Arabidopsis thaliana: one gene and its partners. The protein of the gene in region 3 purifies or fractionates together with the protein of the main gene of each other region. This does not show direct contact. Each region holds a gene or a part of one and is shown on either strand. Other genes may lie near its edges.

The links.
Region 1: the proteins of AT5G16300 (region 3) and EYE fractionate together in Arabidopsis thaliana (co-fractionation; one large-scale study listed by BioGRID). This does not show direct contact.
Region 2: the proteins of AT5G16300 (region 3) and AT1G67930 fractionate together in Arabidopsis thaliana (co-fractionation; one large-scale study listed by BioGRID). This does not show direct contact.

Annotation. Positions count from the first base shown.
Region 1 is NC_003076.8:20,888,795-20,893,406, forward strand, and holds the start of EYE (conserved oligomeric Golgi complex component-related / COG complex component-like protein), read right to left. Parts: upstream 2,214-4,612; 5' UTR 2,002-2,213; coding exon 1,717-2,001; intron 1,610-1,716; coding exon 1,520-1,609; intron 1,431-1,519; coding exon 1,311-1,430; intron 1,232-1,310; coding exon 1,130-1,231; intron 1,035-1,129; coding exon 754-1,034; intron 617-753; coding exon 471-616; intron 65-470; coding exon 1-64. Other genes in the region: AT5G51440 (HSP20-like chaperones superfamily protein), read left to right, coding at 2,448-2,652, 2,792-3,219; RIN3 (RPM1 interacting protein 3), read left to right, coding at 4,370-4,606. UniProt on the Arabidopsis thaliana protein: Required for normal Golgi function. Necessary for embryo development and pigmentation, especially for the expansion of cells and organs, and for the formation of the organized shoot apical meristem (SAM).
Region 2 is NC_003070.9:25,474,949-25,479,560, forward strand, and holds the start of AT1G67930 (Golgi transport complex protein-like protein), read right to left. Parts: upstream 2,598-4,612; 5' UTR 2,385-2,597; coding exon 1,281-2,384; intron 990-1,280; coding exon 516-989; intron 191-515; coding exon 1-190. Other genes in the region: ABCI17 (non-intrinsic ABC protein 3), read left to right, coding at 2,857-3,205, 3,277-3,719; AT1G67950 (RNA-binding (RRM/RBD/RNP motifs) family protein), read right to left, coding at 3,936-4,427, 4,498-4,581. UniProt on the Arabidopsis thaliana protein: Required for normal Golgi function.
Region 3 is NC_003076.8:5,335,689-5,340,300, reverse strand, and holds the start of AT5G16300 (Vps51/Vps67 family (components of vesicular transport) protein), read right to left. Parts: upstream 2,407-4,612; 5' UTR 2,183-2,406; coding exon 1-2,182. Other genes in the region: VAT1 (VALINE-TOLERANT 1), read right to left, coding at 2,914-2,997, 3,097-3,162, 3,272-3,424, 3,515-3,637, 3,737-3,841, 3,952-4,032, 4,120-4,272.

The DNA of each region.
Region 1 (4,612 bases), about 16 Mb from region 3:
TCAAGATGCTTGGTCTGAATATTAATACCCTTGGGCAAGTCTCCAGATAATAGATCCATCACACCTGTTCAAGGAAAACATCAGAATTGTCAGTATTCTCCTAAATACACAAAATACAGATATAAGTCAATTGAAGATAATCGTGCATTGTCTGGAAAATTTCCAGTGACTAAATGAAAAATGTAACAAATAAGTTGTTGTTCAAACTTCCTGCAAGTCTCTCTTGCATATTGACAGATTCATGACATCGGCCACTATGCACAAAAATTACAAACTTAACAAGAACAGCCAAAAACTTTAGCTCATGTAAAGGCAGAAAAAAGTGATACTCTTCTTACATCTATCTACCCAAACATGAGGATGGTAGAGTAGAACCACTAAAGAAGCAACGCAATCCCAATTCAGCTGGGTAAAAAGACTAGACTAAGAAGGAAACCTAATAATCAAACTGTACTGACATCATATCTAACCTTTGGCGAGTGCTTTTGTTTCAGGAACAGCATCTCCAGTTGCAAGGTTAAGACGAGAAACAAAACTAGCCCCCAGTACTCCCATGGTCTCAACCAACAGCTTTGGGACGAGAGTCATGTAGTCATCAGGGAAGGCAACCATACACCTAAACAATCATGAAAGCAAAAACGTACAACAGTGATTGATACTTAAAGCTGCAATCACCTAAAGATCTGACATACTGTCACTGGAAGGGCCCGGAAAATATATACAGTTTACTGTAAATAAAAGTAAAACATTTACCATTTCCACTCTTGCTCAAGATAGAGTAGCAACTCGTCGTAAAAGCTTGTCAGCCAACTGGCAAATGATGTCTGAGATGATGTCGACTGAAACTCATCGCCGCTAGACAACCTTTGACTTTCACTTCTCTCATTGGCAAGCTTGTTTGCCCTTTGCTTTGTGTCAAAATCTTCCCAGAGTTGTTTAATCGGCTTTAGACGGACTTTTGAATATTGCAACTCCAGAGACTTGAATCTCCCAATCCGGATGAGAATTACTCGCAAATCTTGGGCGACATCAACCTGCCAAATTTGGGGAAAGGCTTTTCAGTCCAATAATGGCAACAGAGACATTACAACCTAAAGTAGTTGGGTTCTCTAGATATACAGGTTCCAACCTTGTGATATGTTAATGCATCAGTAAGACGTGGCTGCACCATCGCCTCCAGCCTATCTTCCAATACCTCTAGTTGCTTTCTCACATTAGCAAATTCTGCAACCTGTTGACAAAAATTGGACTTTAAGTGGTGACGGAAAAAGACTTAAATCCTCAGAGTACTGAAGCTGACATAAAACTACCTCTCCAACAGCAGACAGGCAATTTCGCATGCTAGCAAGAGTTTCTGCAGCACGAGGAAGATCGCCACTAGCAAATACATCCTCAACCGTCGAGCTTAACTGAGTTAACCCTGCAGCATCCTGTACATATACCAAAAAGAAGAGAATCAATTGCAGATCTACCCCCAAGTGTCCACATAATGGATCACAAAATCACTATGAATACTAACCTGTAGTGTTTTGTAGGCAGCCTCCATTCTCTGTTTGACATTGTCCACTCTAGCAAGCGCAGCTATACAATCTGCTGAAGAACCCTCTGCCTGCAGAGTACCGAATTCGATAAGAGCACAAGTTTCAGGAATTTGATATAATCTAATTTTCGAGAAGAGATCCAAACAAAATCTCAGGAATCAGCACAAATGCGTACCTTCTTGAGCTTCTGGAGGATTCCAGCAACAGAACCACGCAGAGACACAGCATCATCACGGAGACGCAACACGTCTCGTGTGGCACGAGGAACACGGAGGAGAGCACCACCGCTCTGCTCTTCAAGAGAAGCTCCGATCTCCTCGGAGGCAATCTGAAGCTTCATTTCCAGATCCACAAGATGTTTCTCGAGTGAATCCTGTGGGTGACGCGCCTGGCACGACGAGTTAACCCATCGCTTCGCATCGAACTTCTCATCTGAGAATGGACCTAGATCCAGCATCATCCTTGATCCGATCACCCGATTTACCTTAGATTCTCTTCAGCTTCGACGATGATGATGTTGAAGAGAAGAAGATCCTCTGATTTCGCAGATACACTGAAGAAGAAACTAAACCAAATCGATCTAAACCGACTTTCAAATTCGACTTTAAAACCAAACCAAAGTAAACGGAAGATAAATTTACAAATCTGGGCCCCAAAGTGATGGGCCGTCACGGAAAAAGTTTTCTTCTTTCTTTTTCTTTATTTTTCTTTATTTTACTTGGAGACCACGCAGTTCTAGAACCATCCTTAAGCGACTCTCTAGCCTCTAGCAGCTTCTTCTACTCTCTGTTCTATATAAACCTTTCTCTAACAGCTTTTTTTTCGTTCAAAGAGTATAAAAAATATCTCATCGAGCTTGAAAATAATTAATCACTTGCTAATTCTAAGCTTCTTCTCTTTCCAAAAATGGCGTCATCATCGGCTTTAGCTCTCAGGAGACTTCTCTCTTCTTCCACCGTCGCCGTCCCTCGCGCCTTAAGAGCCGTTCGTCCGGTGGCTGCTTCATCTCGCCTCTTCAATACCAACGCCGCCAGAAACTATGAAGACGGTGTCGATAGGAACCATCACTCAAACCGACATGTTTCTCGCCACGGCGGCGATTTCTTCTCACGTAAATCCATGGTTCCTCCGTCCAATTTCGCTATAGATTTTCCCAATTTGATACATGTTTAGTGATTTATGTATAGAGTACATCTAACTTTGTTTTGGAGATCTGTTGAATCTGAAAATTTGGTTGTTTTTTCAAACAGATATACTCGATCCGTTTACTCCAACGAGAAGCTTGAGCCAGATGCTGAATTTCATGGACCAGGTAAGCGAAATCCCTTTGGTATCAGCTACTCGTGGAATGGGAGCTTCTGGAGTTAGACGTGGTTGGAACGTGAAAGAGAAAGACGACGCGTTGCATCTAAGGATAGATATGCCGGGACTAAGCAGAGAGGATGTGAAATTGGCTTTGGAACAGAACACATTGGTGATTAGAGGAGAAGGGGAAACAGAGGAGGGAGAAGATGTTTCTGGAGATGGACGGAGGTTTACGAGTAGGATTGAGTTACCGGAGAAAGTATACAAGACTGATGAGATTAAGGCGGAAATGAAGAATGGTGTGTTGAAAGTGGTGATTCCAAAGATTAAAGAGGATGAGCGTAACAATATTCGTCACATAAACGTTGACTAGAGTGTTTTATTTTGGATTGTTTGAGATGGAATGGAAGTAAGTGAGTGAATTTGTGAACTTTAAGGTGTCCTTTGGTGAATCAAGGAGAATGACATTTCCCACGGTCCTATGTGTTCGGGATTTTGACTTTTTTCGTTACATCAATGATCTATGTACGTTTGACTACTTTCATATCATAGGTTCGGATTTTGTTTCCCAAATTCTTGATATCGGATTCTGGATATGAATATCGTAGCAACTATGATATAGTTGAAGTTATTTGGATATTATTTATGGAGAAAAAGAGTCTGCTAGGACGATTTTCTATCATTATACCTATGGACTATGGTGGTGTTATCAAACATGCTGGACAGAGCCATGATCAACGATACATTCGATGCTCATTCTCGATGTTCAAACTCGGTTTTATAAGGGGATGATACATCAAATTGATACCAAGTAACTGATTTTGAATGTGCTGGAAATGTTGATATAGGTCTCAGCAACCAGAAGAAGGTTGTGGGACAAGACTATTAGAGAATTTTGCTACCGTTTTTTTTTCACCTCTGTTTGGCAAAGCGCGCTCTTTATAGCTTTACTTCTTTGGAACCACTTCGGTGACCATAGAACTCGTTCGTGTCGGCATCGTCAAATTTAAGTAACTTTTTATTTACCGCATGGTTTATTATTTTGAGTTTTTTTCTTCCGCATTTTATATTCTTCATTTTTCCTTGTCCATCGAGAAAGAGAGACAAAAAGAGGACGCAATTGCCGGTGCTGAGGAGAATTTTCCAATCGCGAACTCAGGTTTTGATCCATTTCGCTCTCTGCAGAATCCACCATTATCTTCATATTTTCTTCTATTGACCTCAATCTTTCAGCTCATCTCTCTCCTTTGGTTAATTGAATTTCCCAGTTTCTTCAATTTTACTTATTTAATACATATCTCTCTCAATTGCAGTATCCTATGAACTTCGTGATCATGGTTTTGAATTTTACTTGCTTCGATTGGCCTACGTTATAAAAAAATTGAAACTTTTTAACTCAATTCTCTAACTTACATAAGCTTTTGGTTTGCTTAGCTTATGCAAAATCATGTTGATGCAGGGGACGTCATGCTAAATGAGAATCTGTGGGTTAATTCGGAGTGAGAAGGCTATAATAGTTTCTAATGGGGATAACATATTTGCACATTTCCGTGGCAACAACAGCTTTGAGCTTTGTGGGTTTACAAGTCTGGACGGAGTTGTCTCTTGATAGACTTAGAGCTGATGGGATAATCACCAAGAACATTTCTTTAGGGAATTCTGAGAATACCCTTGAGCTTCTTCTGAGTTCTCACACTACAATTGCATTGCTGGCAAGTTTTGTTCTCAATATCTACATTCTTCTTGTTCTTTCTCTCAAGGTAAGA
Region 2 (4,612 bases), on a different chromosome or scaffold from region 3:
GCTCACATGCCGCATCATAGATTGCAGCCAGATAAGGAGACAATACATCAGTAGCAATACTGGGAAGGTCCGCTACCATGGATGAGATATGTGTGTGGATTCCTTGCAGATGCTGACATAATGTGAAGTTCCTGATCTGTGTTGAAGTCGCAGGACCTGATATCTGCCGCGTCTCAGGGCCTGTAGAAATCTGCAATATAAGTGTAGCTGTGTTACATTTCAAACATAAACGCATAAGTAGCAGAATAACTTCTTTACACTGTTAACTCTAATTATGTCAGGTAGTTAACACGTATATATTTGCATAGTAGAGGTAGATGTAGCTCTAATTCTCTTCATTTCTGTCTGGAAGAAATTATAATTGCCCCACGAATTATTACTTTGTACTCAATCTCTCCTATACAACTGTATGCAACTTTAAGAATTTCTATATAATACAAGCACAAATTGATACCATACTAAGGGAGCTATCGCACATAACAAGAGGACAATAACCAACAAGAGGTCTATCATACCTGGCACTCAGCTCGTTGAGCTAGGTTACTAAGGGCCTTGCCTATCTCACGCAAAACTAGAAGAGTCAAACGAGCATCTGGATGAACAGCCTCAATCTCATCTTGAATGTGTGATAATACCTGTGAAATCTGTTCTTTCGAAGGTAAACTCCCACGGCTCGACATAGGGAATATCGAGTTTACAAGGTCTGACAAGCGGCCAAAGCATAGGGATAAGAAAGCAGTCTGGAATATAGCAATGCATGCAACCATTTGTTCTTTCCTTTCTAAATTAATGGCAGGTAACACTCCTTTAACATCTGTATCACGAGAAATCCTTTCAAGAAGATTTTCTATCATAGACACAAGCTTCGGATATCCCATGGTGAATATTTCTTTTACAAAACTCGAAGCTGTGTATGCAGACTTCATTTGGCTAGTAAAAGCCTTCACAAGTGCATCCCAGACTCTATCGGTTAACATAGAATCGCCTTCCTGTGCATATAAACACTTCATGTAAGCAATAAAACCAATTAAAAAGTTGGAATCTAAACTAATCAACAGCCCTGACACCACAGAAACCCATCCCAAAACTTCCTTTTGATGCAAAAACATTGAAGGATCATCTACTTAAATTGTTCAAACATCATCGAGCTCGCTAAAAGTGACAAGAAACTCTGATCCTCTCAATGATCTAATGCAGCTTATTCCTCAGGACATTGACAATATCTTTAACTAACGAATAAACAAACTCAGGGAGCCTAAAATTCCAGTTAAATTCCGCACCTTGATGACTTCGTCAAGAAGAAGGACATGAGTAAATGGATCCCTCTTCTTAGACAGTACACGCTGCAAATGCCACACAGCAACTACAAGTGAACACAACTGTTCCATACAACTAGCCATCCTCTGCCACAACGCCTCCCTAACTTTAGCACCACCACCAATATGCGGTGATCCGCTAGACCTAATCCCACCAGGCCCGAAGCCACCACCTGAGCCAGAAGTAATAGCTTTCATATCCATAGCAACACTCACACTCTTCACAGCCATTCCCTTATACTTATTCACCAATTGATCCACCGTAGACTTAAGCTCTCCAAGGTTATAGAAAACTTGCAAACCAGTCCCAACTTCAGCTTGATTCAACCCTTCCATGCCTCTCTCCAACACCTTCATAGCTTCAGATCTCAATTTCTCTCCAATCTCAGTAACAAACTTGATTTCCTCATCAATCACATCAATGCCAAAGAGATCATACTCTTTACACATTGTTAAGATCTCGAAATGGAACTGTGCAGCTTTAGTGAGATCGATCTTATCTGGATCAGGAAAATCCGCTAGATCTCGAAGCTTCTTAGAGAGACGAAGCGTACGAACGGAGTGAGATAGTAACTCAGTAGCTGTATGGAGATTAGATAGCTGAACAGATTTAGATCGGATCGATTTGATCGGTTCAGAGAGGTCGGATCTGACACGGCGAATTGAAGATTGGAGTGAAGAGACGGAGGATCGGAGAGAAGAGAGAGATACATCGGCGTGTGAGAGAGAAGAGAGCTGAGCGAGCAATTCAGGGTGACGAGAGATGACGTCATTACGGAGCTGTGAATCGAGGAGGCGGATTGCTTGGTGGAGACGTTCGGCGGTGGAGGCCGGAGATCCAGAAGCGAGAGCGGCGGAGGAGAATGATGCGGAGGAGAAGGAAGATGAGAGGAATGGGGAGAGGATTGGATCGGTGGCAAAAGAATCGAGCGGCGAAGAAGAGGAAGATGACGGTGTTTGTGGTGGTGGTGCGCCGGAGGAGAGTGAAGAAGGAGGAGGGTTTTTGAAGGTGGAGAGACGTTGAAGAGATGGAGATGATGGTGAAGGAGACGATGGAGGTAGTGCCATTTTTTTACAGTTTCAATCTCTACAGGTTTTGAATTTTGCAATGGCGATTTTAGCAGGAGATCAAAGCGATACTCATTTTTCAAAGTTAATCTCTGAAACACCAAAAAAAAAAAAAAAAAACTCAAAGCGAAGTTATACGATAGTGAACCGGTCTACTTTAATTTCTGTGTCTGAATTTTGTTGGTTATCTACGAACCGGAATTATCATTTCTGGCATAGTCAAGTGATAGATGTAGTCATGTAGGGAATTTGTATCTGGATGTGAAAAAAAAAAAAAACAATTCCTCCTCTAAATCTCGTGATGTCATAAATTATGTAAATGTCAGAGATTGGTCCTAAAAGTTGGCCACTAAGTGGTGTAAGAATAATAAATTGTCAATATCAATTGACTGATTCTTATTGTTCATATACGGACACAAATCTTTTCGTTAAGTGAGTGTTTTGATCAAAAAAAGTTGAAAACTTTAAAGCCATGCCATCACTTTGGTCTAACGAATCCGATGGATCATTACGAGAGCATCTTGTGGATGTTGTTGTGTCTGGTTCAGAACCAAAGATTCGGGTACATGATCTGACCCGAGTCGCCGATGATGGATCTCGGATCTTGAAAGGAGTTACGATAGATATACCAAAAGGTATGATCGTTGGTGTGATTGGACCTAGTGGAAGTGGAAAGTCAACGTTTTTGAGATCTCTGAATCGTCTTTGGGAACCACCGGAGTCAACTGTGTTCTTGGACGGTGAAGATATAACCAACGTTGATGTTATTGCTCTTCGTCGTAGAGTTGGAATGCTTTTTCAGCTTCCTGTTCTTTTTCAAGGTAATAATCAAATTTTGGGATTTGCTTAGCCTCTAGTTTCATAGGTCTTGATAATGTGTGGTTGGTTACAGGGACTGTTGCGGATAATGTGAGATATGGTCCGAATTTGAGAGGGGAGAAACTAAGTGACGAAGAGGTTTATAAGCTGCTAAGTCTTGCAGACCTTGATGCTTCCTTTGCTAAGAAGACTGGTGCAGAGTTATCTGTGGGTCAAGCTCAACGAGTAGCACTTGCAAGGACTCTAGCCAACGAGCCTGAGGTGTTGCTGCTCGATGAACCAACAAGTGCTCTTGATCCGATATCGACAGAGAACATTGAGGATGTTATAGTGAAACTGAAGAAGCAGAGAGGGATTACTACTGTGATTGTTTCTCACAGTATCAAGCAGATTCAGAAAGTTGCTGATATCGTTTGCCTTGTTGTCGACGGAGAGATTGTTGAAGTTCTTAAACCAAGTGAGCTTTCGCACGCTACGCATCCAATGGCACAGAGGTTTCTTCAACTCAGTTCTTGAGACCATTTTCTCATTGATGGTTCCTGCAAGTTATTTGCTATTTTGCTTGAATCTTAATAATCTCTTTCAAGAGAGGAACAAATGCTGGTTGAATGTAACAACACCTTTCATGGTTTATGTCTTTTTATCTTCTCTTTAGCATACGAAAGCATATATATGAACAACAAACCTATCAAAGAATTTAGTCGAGATCCGATTGGTTTGATGAGATCTGCATCAACCGAGCTTAACAGGAACTACAGCAGGAACTTTGGGTGAAGAGGGATCAAGTGTGATGATCTCCTTTCTTCCTTCTCCTCCATTCTCAACTTTCTCTTTAACCGCCTTTGTCACTGCGCCAAACGCGTTTGAAAACCACGAAGCTCCACTTGATACATAAGGGTTTGCCATTAAAGCCGTTCTTGCACTGATTGCTGTCTCTTCAGCAGCTGCTAAAGCAGATTTCGTTATCTCCCTCACCTGATATCGCTCATCGATATCTCTCAACTTCTCATTAACCACAGTTGTTCCTATGCTTAGCTTTTCGCTCAGACCCATCTTATCGTCAAGCGATGCAATGGTTGCAGAAGCGTTTGAGATCAAGTTGTGTCTGTCATCAAATGCTTTGGCTTTCTCCATGGCGTCTTTTCCAAGAGCATAACCTCTTCCCACCATGATGTTCACCACATCTTCAGCTTTCTTGACAGAAAAACCATTAAACGAATGTTCCTGCTACACAGAGGAAACAACATGAACACCGAGAGAGTAACGAATAAATCAAAGAGTTTCCGGTCTTTACCGAGTCAAGTGCAAGGGCTTCTGGTGGTAGCTGATAGTTAACAGCAGGAGTTATACTAACACGAAGATCTGCAATGACAGCTCCCTGGAAGGAAATGTTTTTCGCTGTAAGCACT
Region 3 (4,612 bases):
AGAGAATAGCTGAAAGCTCATCAGATAACCACTTTATCCACAATGTATGAGCCTTGATGCACAGATCTCGCATAGTTCTATTAAGCTCTTCAAATTTTGGACTTGTTTTCTCTTCCGCTCCCAGTAGTGCAGCAACAGCTAATGAAGTCTGCTTTCTAAGATCGGTATGCAATTGCTTTCCAGGGCTGTCAGCAGTGGCTGGAGTATTCGAGCTAAATCTTGGCTGCCTCAACAAGGATGACAACTTATCAGAAACTGCAGTCATAGTTTCTCTACACCACAATCTTGGAGAACCGAGAATTAAGGGAACATGTTTTGAGTGGTTCAGCAATGCAAACAAAAGGCGTCCCATAAAAAGTGATTTCTCAATTATTATAGCAGGTGGAATTGCTTCACTGTCCTTGTTCTCTTTCTTCACGGCAGCACATAGAAATTCAAGTTCTTTATCTACATCTGCAAGAAGTGCTGAGACACTGTCATAACACTTATTCTGCACGTATGGTGCAAGATCCTTTAACCTTGGACCTGCCTTTTCTGACTCGAAGAAGCTTAGGAGGTCTTCCAAAACACTATGGCAGCGCCTATCAACTGCATCTCTCATTTGGCTAACTTCAGGACCAAAGTACGCAGTTAGACAACTTTGGAAGTCGCTTTCTTCAGGTGATGATTTATTTCCGGAAATAAGACCAACTTTCTTTGAATTAGGCTCAATGAACCAGACACCACCACCTGTAGAAGGTCTGTTTAAGTATGCTTGGAAGTTGATTTTCTCACCAGTAATCTCACTATAAGCATGTACCGAATCTGCTACATTGACAGCTTTAGTCAAATTCTCAAATTTGGAGTCAATGATAGATTTCATCCTTTCCACAAAGGCCTTCTCAAATATTTCATCCCATAGGTTCAAATCATCCCCCAGAACAAGCTCTCGGATTCTATTCCAAGGCAACTCTACCTCAGACCCGAAAACACTTTTAAGCCAATCCAAACTACCCCTCAAGACATCTTTGCTATCCATGGTCTCCCTTATCAACTTTTCGGCTGATCCAAGCTCCGCGCCAGTAACTATAGCTTCAATCAAATGCTTCCCACTAACCTTACCAACAATCTGTCCACCGCATTCCCTCAACCAAGTCAGACAAGACTTAGAAACGTCATTTTTATCAAGGATGAGCATAACGGATTCCAGTTTATCTCTGAAGGATTTCCACAACTCAACCTCTTCCTCTGGATTCGGAATTCCACCAAACAGTTGAGAAGCTGGAGGGGTACTCAAGATTGTTTTATAAAATAGAGGCATGTCAGTCAAGGCTTGCAAGAAGAGTTCCCCAACTTGTCCCACTGTAACCTGAATCACACTTAACACATCACAAAACACCAAAACAACCTCACCCGCATCCTCACCAGTACAAGCATTCAACTTTTGCAGAATCCAAGTCTTCCTCGAGTCTAGAAACAACTCAAGCACTTGCTCTGGATCAAGCTCATCAACCACCGCGACAGCAGTTAAGGCATCCACATAAGCTCCCAGTCCTAAACCCGGATCTAGAAGCCGCTCATGGCTCCTCTGCGAAATCTGAGCCTTAAAACTCTCAACTATCTGCCATTGGTGCTCCAATAGTGGAAAATTCGCCAACAGCTTACTCTGATCCACCTCTGCTACACCACCACCACATCCCTCCAACTTGATCAGTCTCTGCTGCACATGCTGAGCACGCATGTACCTCCCCGCAGCCTCTAGAAACATAGACTCGTCAAGGCATCCCCATATATTCTCAGGCGTATCCACCAGATACTTAACACGACAAGCGATCCCATAGACATTGACTCGTACTGGGTTAAGGCTAGCAAGCTTAGGAGTTTCCGCTACAGAAGAAGAAGAAAGCGATCGAATGTTACCGTGGATCGAAGAGATATTGGCTGAGATCGACTCACAGAGCGACTTCATGTGAACAATCGAGTCAGCTGAGTCGATTAGATCACGGTACCTAGTCCCAACGAGTTGCCGAAGCTCCTCTTTCTTATCCTCGATGTTCTTCCTAGTCGCCGACTCCACAATTCGAATCTCCGACATTGGTTTCGTGCGAAAAAGAGACTCAGCATCTCGTTGACCACCTCCGTTACTGCTGAGACTTACGGCGGAAGGCCGGTATTCCCCGGCGGAAGCTGATGACATTCTCATGGTTTCTCAAGCGTGGCTTCGTGCGTATTGTATTCTCTTTTAGCAATCCATCATAGCTTCCACTGACTGAAGAAGAAGAGAATCAACAAAACAGATCTGATCGGATCTGGGATAGCTTTTCCTCAGATTCAGAAGTAGAATCCTCGAATTAAGATCTAATTTTTGAGTTTTTTTTTTTAAGTTTCTGCAATTGCTGCGAAGAAGAAACACGAAAAGAATTAAACGTTTCCTCAATATTACAAGTTTGCCCTAATTTGGTTCGCAAGGAAGGATTCTAACCAAGTCCGGTCCGGTTAAAGCTTAATTGTTAAGTTAAGATCTAACCAAGTCCGGTCCGGTTAGAGCTTAATTGTTAAGTTAAGATCGATTGGAGTATATACTAATACACGTCTTTGATACTAAATAAGTGACAAACTAGTAACAGTGTTCTACATTTGATTAGTATGCAAAACTAATTTAACGGAACAAAGATAATTATTTATTTTTAGTTCATAAAATAGCTCCTCCTATAACAACAACTCGAAGCGCCATGACTCGTGAGGAAGCAATCAATCACAGATGCTGAAACAACGTGCAGTCCTTTTGACTAGTTTCCAGGAACGACACTGAAGCTTGCGGCAAGTCCTCTGCACAAGAATTTCCTTTGATATATAACACAGATGATGATGATGTAAAACGACAACAATGCATGATGCATCTGTGATTATAAAAGAGATTACTAACCTCTAGAACTACAAAGGAAGAGAGTATCCACGAAGATAAGTCGAATCCACTCCAGATTCTCTTACCAATGCCACTCTTCCTGTCCGAGCCACCTTCAATTTTCATAAAACACAAACCATAAGAATCGCCAGACACAACAGTGACCGTGTCTGTGAAGAGATTAGAGATAAATCAAGAAACTTTTTTTTAACCTCGCAGATTCCATAGGCCTCTAACTGCGTTTGTAATGCAGACATTTTTCTGAGATCCCCTGTAACCTGCAAATCGACGGATTTCATCAGCTACTAGATCTCATCTCAAGCTTGAAATATCAGAAAGCTACGAGAGCTTTTTGTTGTAAAGTTCAGGGAGATATGATATCAGCACCTCAAGGGTGATAGTATGATCAGAGACATCAATGGCTTTAGCACGGAAAACTTGAGCAATATCTAAAACATCTCTCCTTGCAGAAGTATCAGCAGCTACTTTGATGAGCATCAGTTCTCGCTCCGCAAATGGCATGTGCGTTATATTTTGGATCTAGAAAAGCCAATGAAAGGGAAACGTTATTAGACATATAAAATTAAAATTAAAACCAAAGTACACTACGGTTTCGAATCATTAGCTCACCTCCTGAAGATCAATCAACTTCTGGAGCTGCCTAACCAATTTATCTATATTTTCATCAGTTCCGGGAATAACTGTTGTAATCCGAGATAAGCCCTCTTTCTCAGCAGGACCAACAGCTAGACTCTAGAGCAATAAAAGCAACAACTTTCACATACTCTTGAGAGAAATGAGTAGTATGCATCACATCGGTGAAGCTAAAAGCAAAAGTGTGTGCATAATAACCTGGATGTTATAACCTCTTCTAGAGATAGCTCCAGTTATTAGATTGAGAACTCCGGGAACGTTGGCCACAAGTAAAGATAATGTGTGGGACCGAAGTCCGCTCGACTGCAAAAAGGTAAACAGTTTTAGTTCACTTTGACCTCTAATTTCGAAGGATTTACTGGATCAAAAAGAAAATTATAAAACGAATGCAGTATCCGAGAAACGTGTCTTACATCTTCATCGTAGACCATTCCCCAATGAGCGTCAAGGACCGGTTTGAAATCGTTATAGGGTTCCACTGGATAAACGTCACCCTAAAATAAAGTATCAGTTAATCTCGTTCAATCTACTAGTGCTTAGATATACACAGGGAGAAAATAAATTAGCTAATATTTCTATACCCCGGATGATGCATTGCCATTTCCAGTCAATGCTAGTTTTGTTTTCTCTGCAACAGTCTCATGAGATGATTCCTTTACAAGATGTGGATATGATGCCGCTGAAAATCTCCAAAACGGAGCGGTTTCTCCCATCTTTTCCCGTCTCAGAGCAATCTAGAGTAGTAGTATACAACAACAGTTAGGATTAAAAAAGCTGATTCTTAAAATTACTCATTATAGTCAGTGAAACGCAGAAATTAACTACATGGAAAAGAAGATAAAATCCGCATTAGAGATTAAGTAATTTAATCAGTTTTCATGTAAGATGTGAACATGTATTTAAAGCTAAACTGGGAATTTCATGTGCTCTGCCATTTAGAGTGTCCTGAGATTCACCAAAGGAACTCGGGTCTGTATGTGTGACATAATAGACCAAAAAAAAAAAAAAAAAAAAAAGAGGCTCCAAGTGGCTACAAGTAATGATACATGTGAGTCCAACCGTTCAAACAAGCTT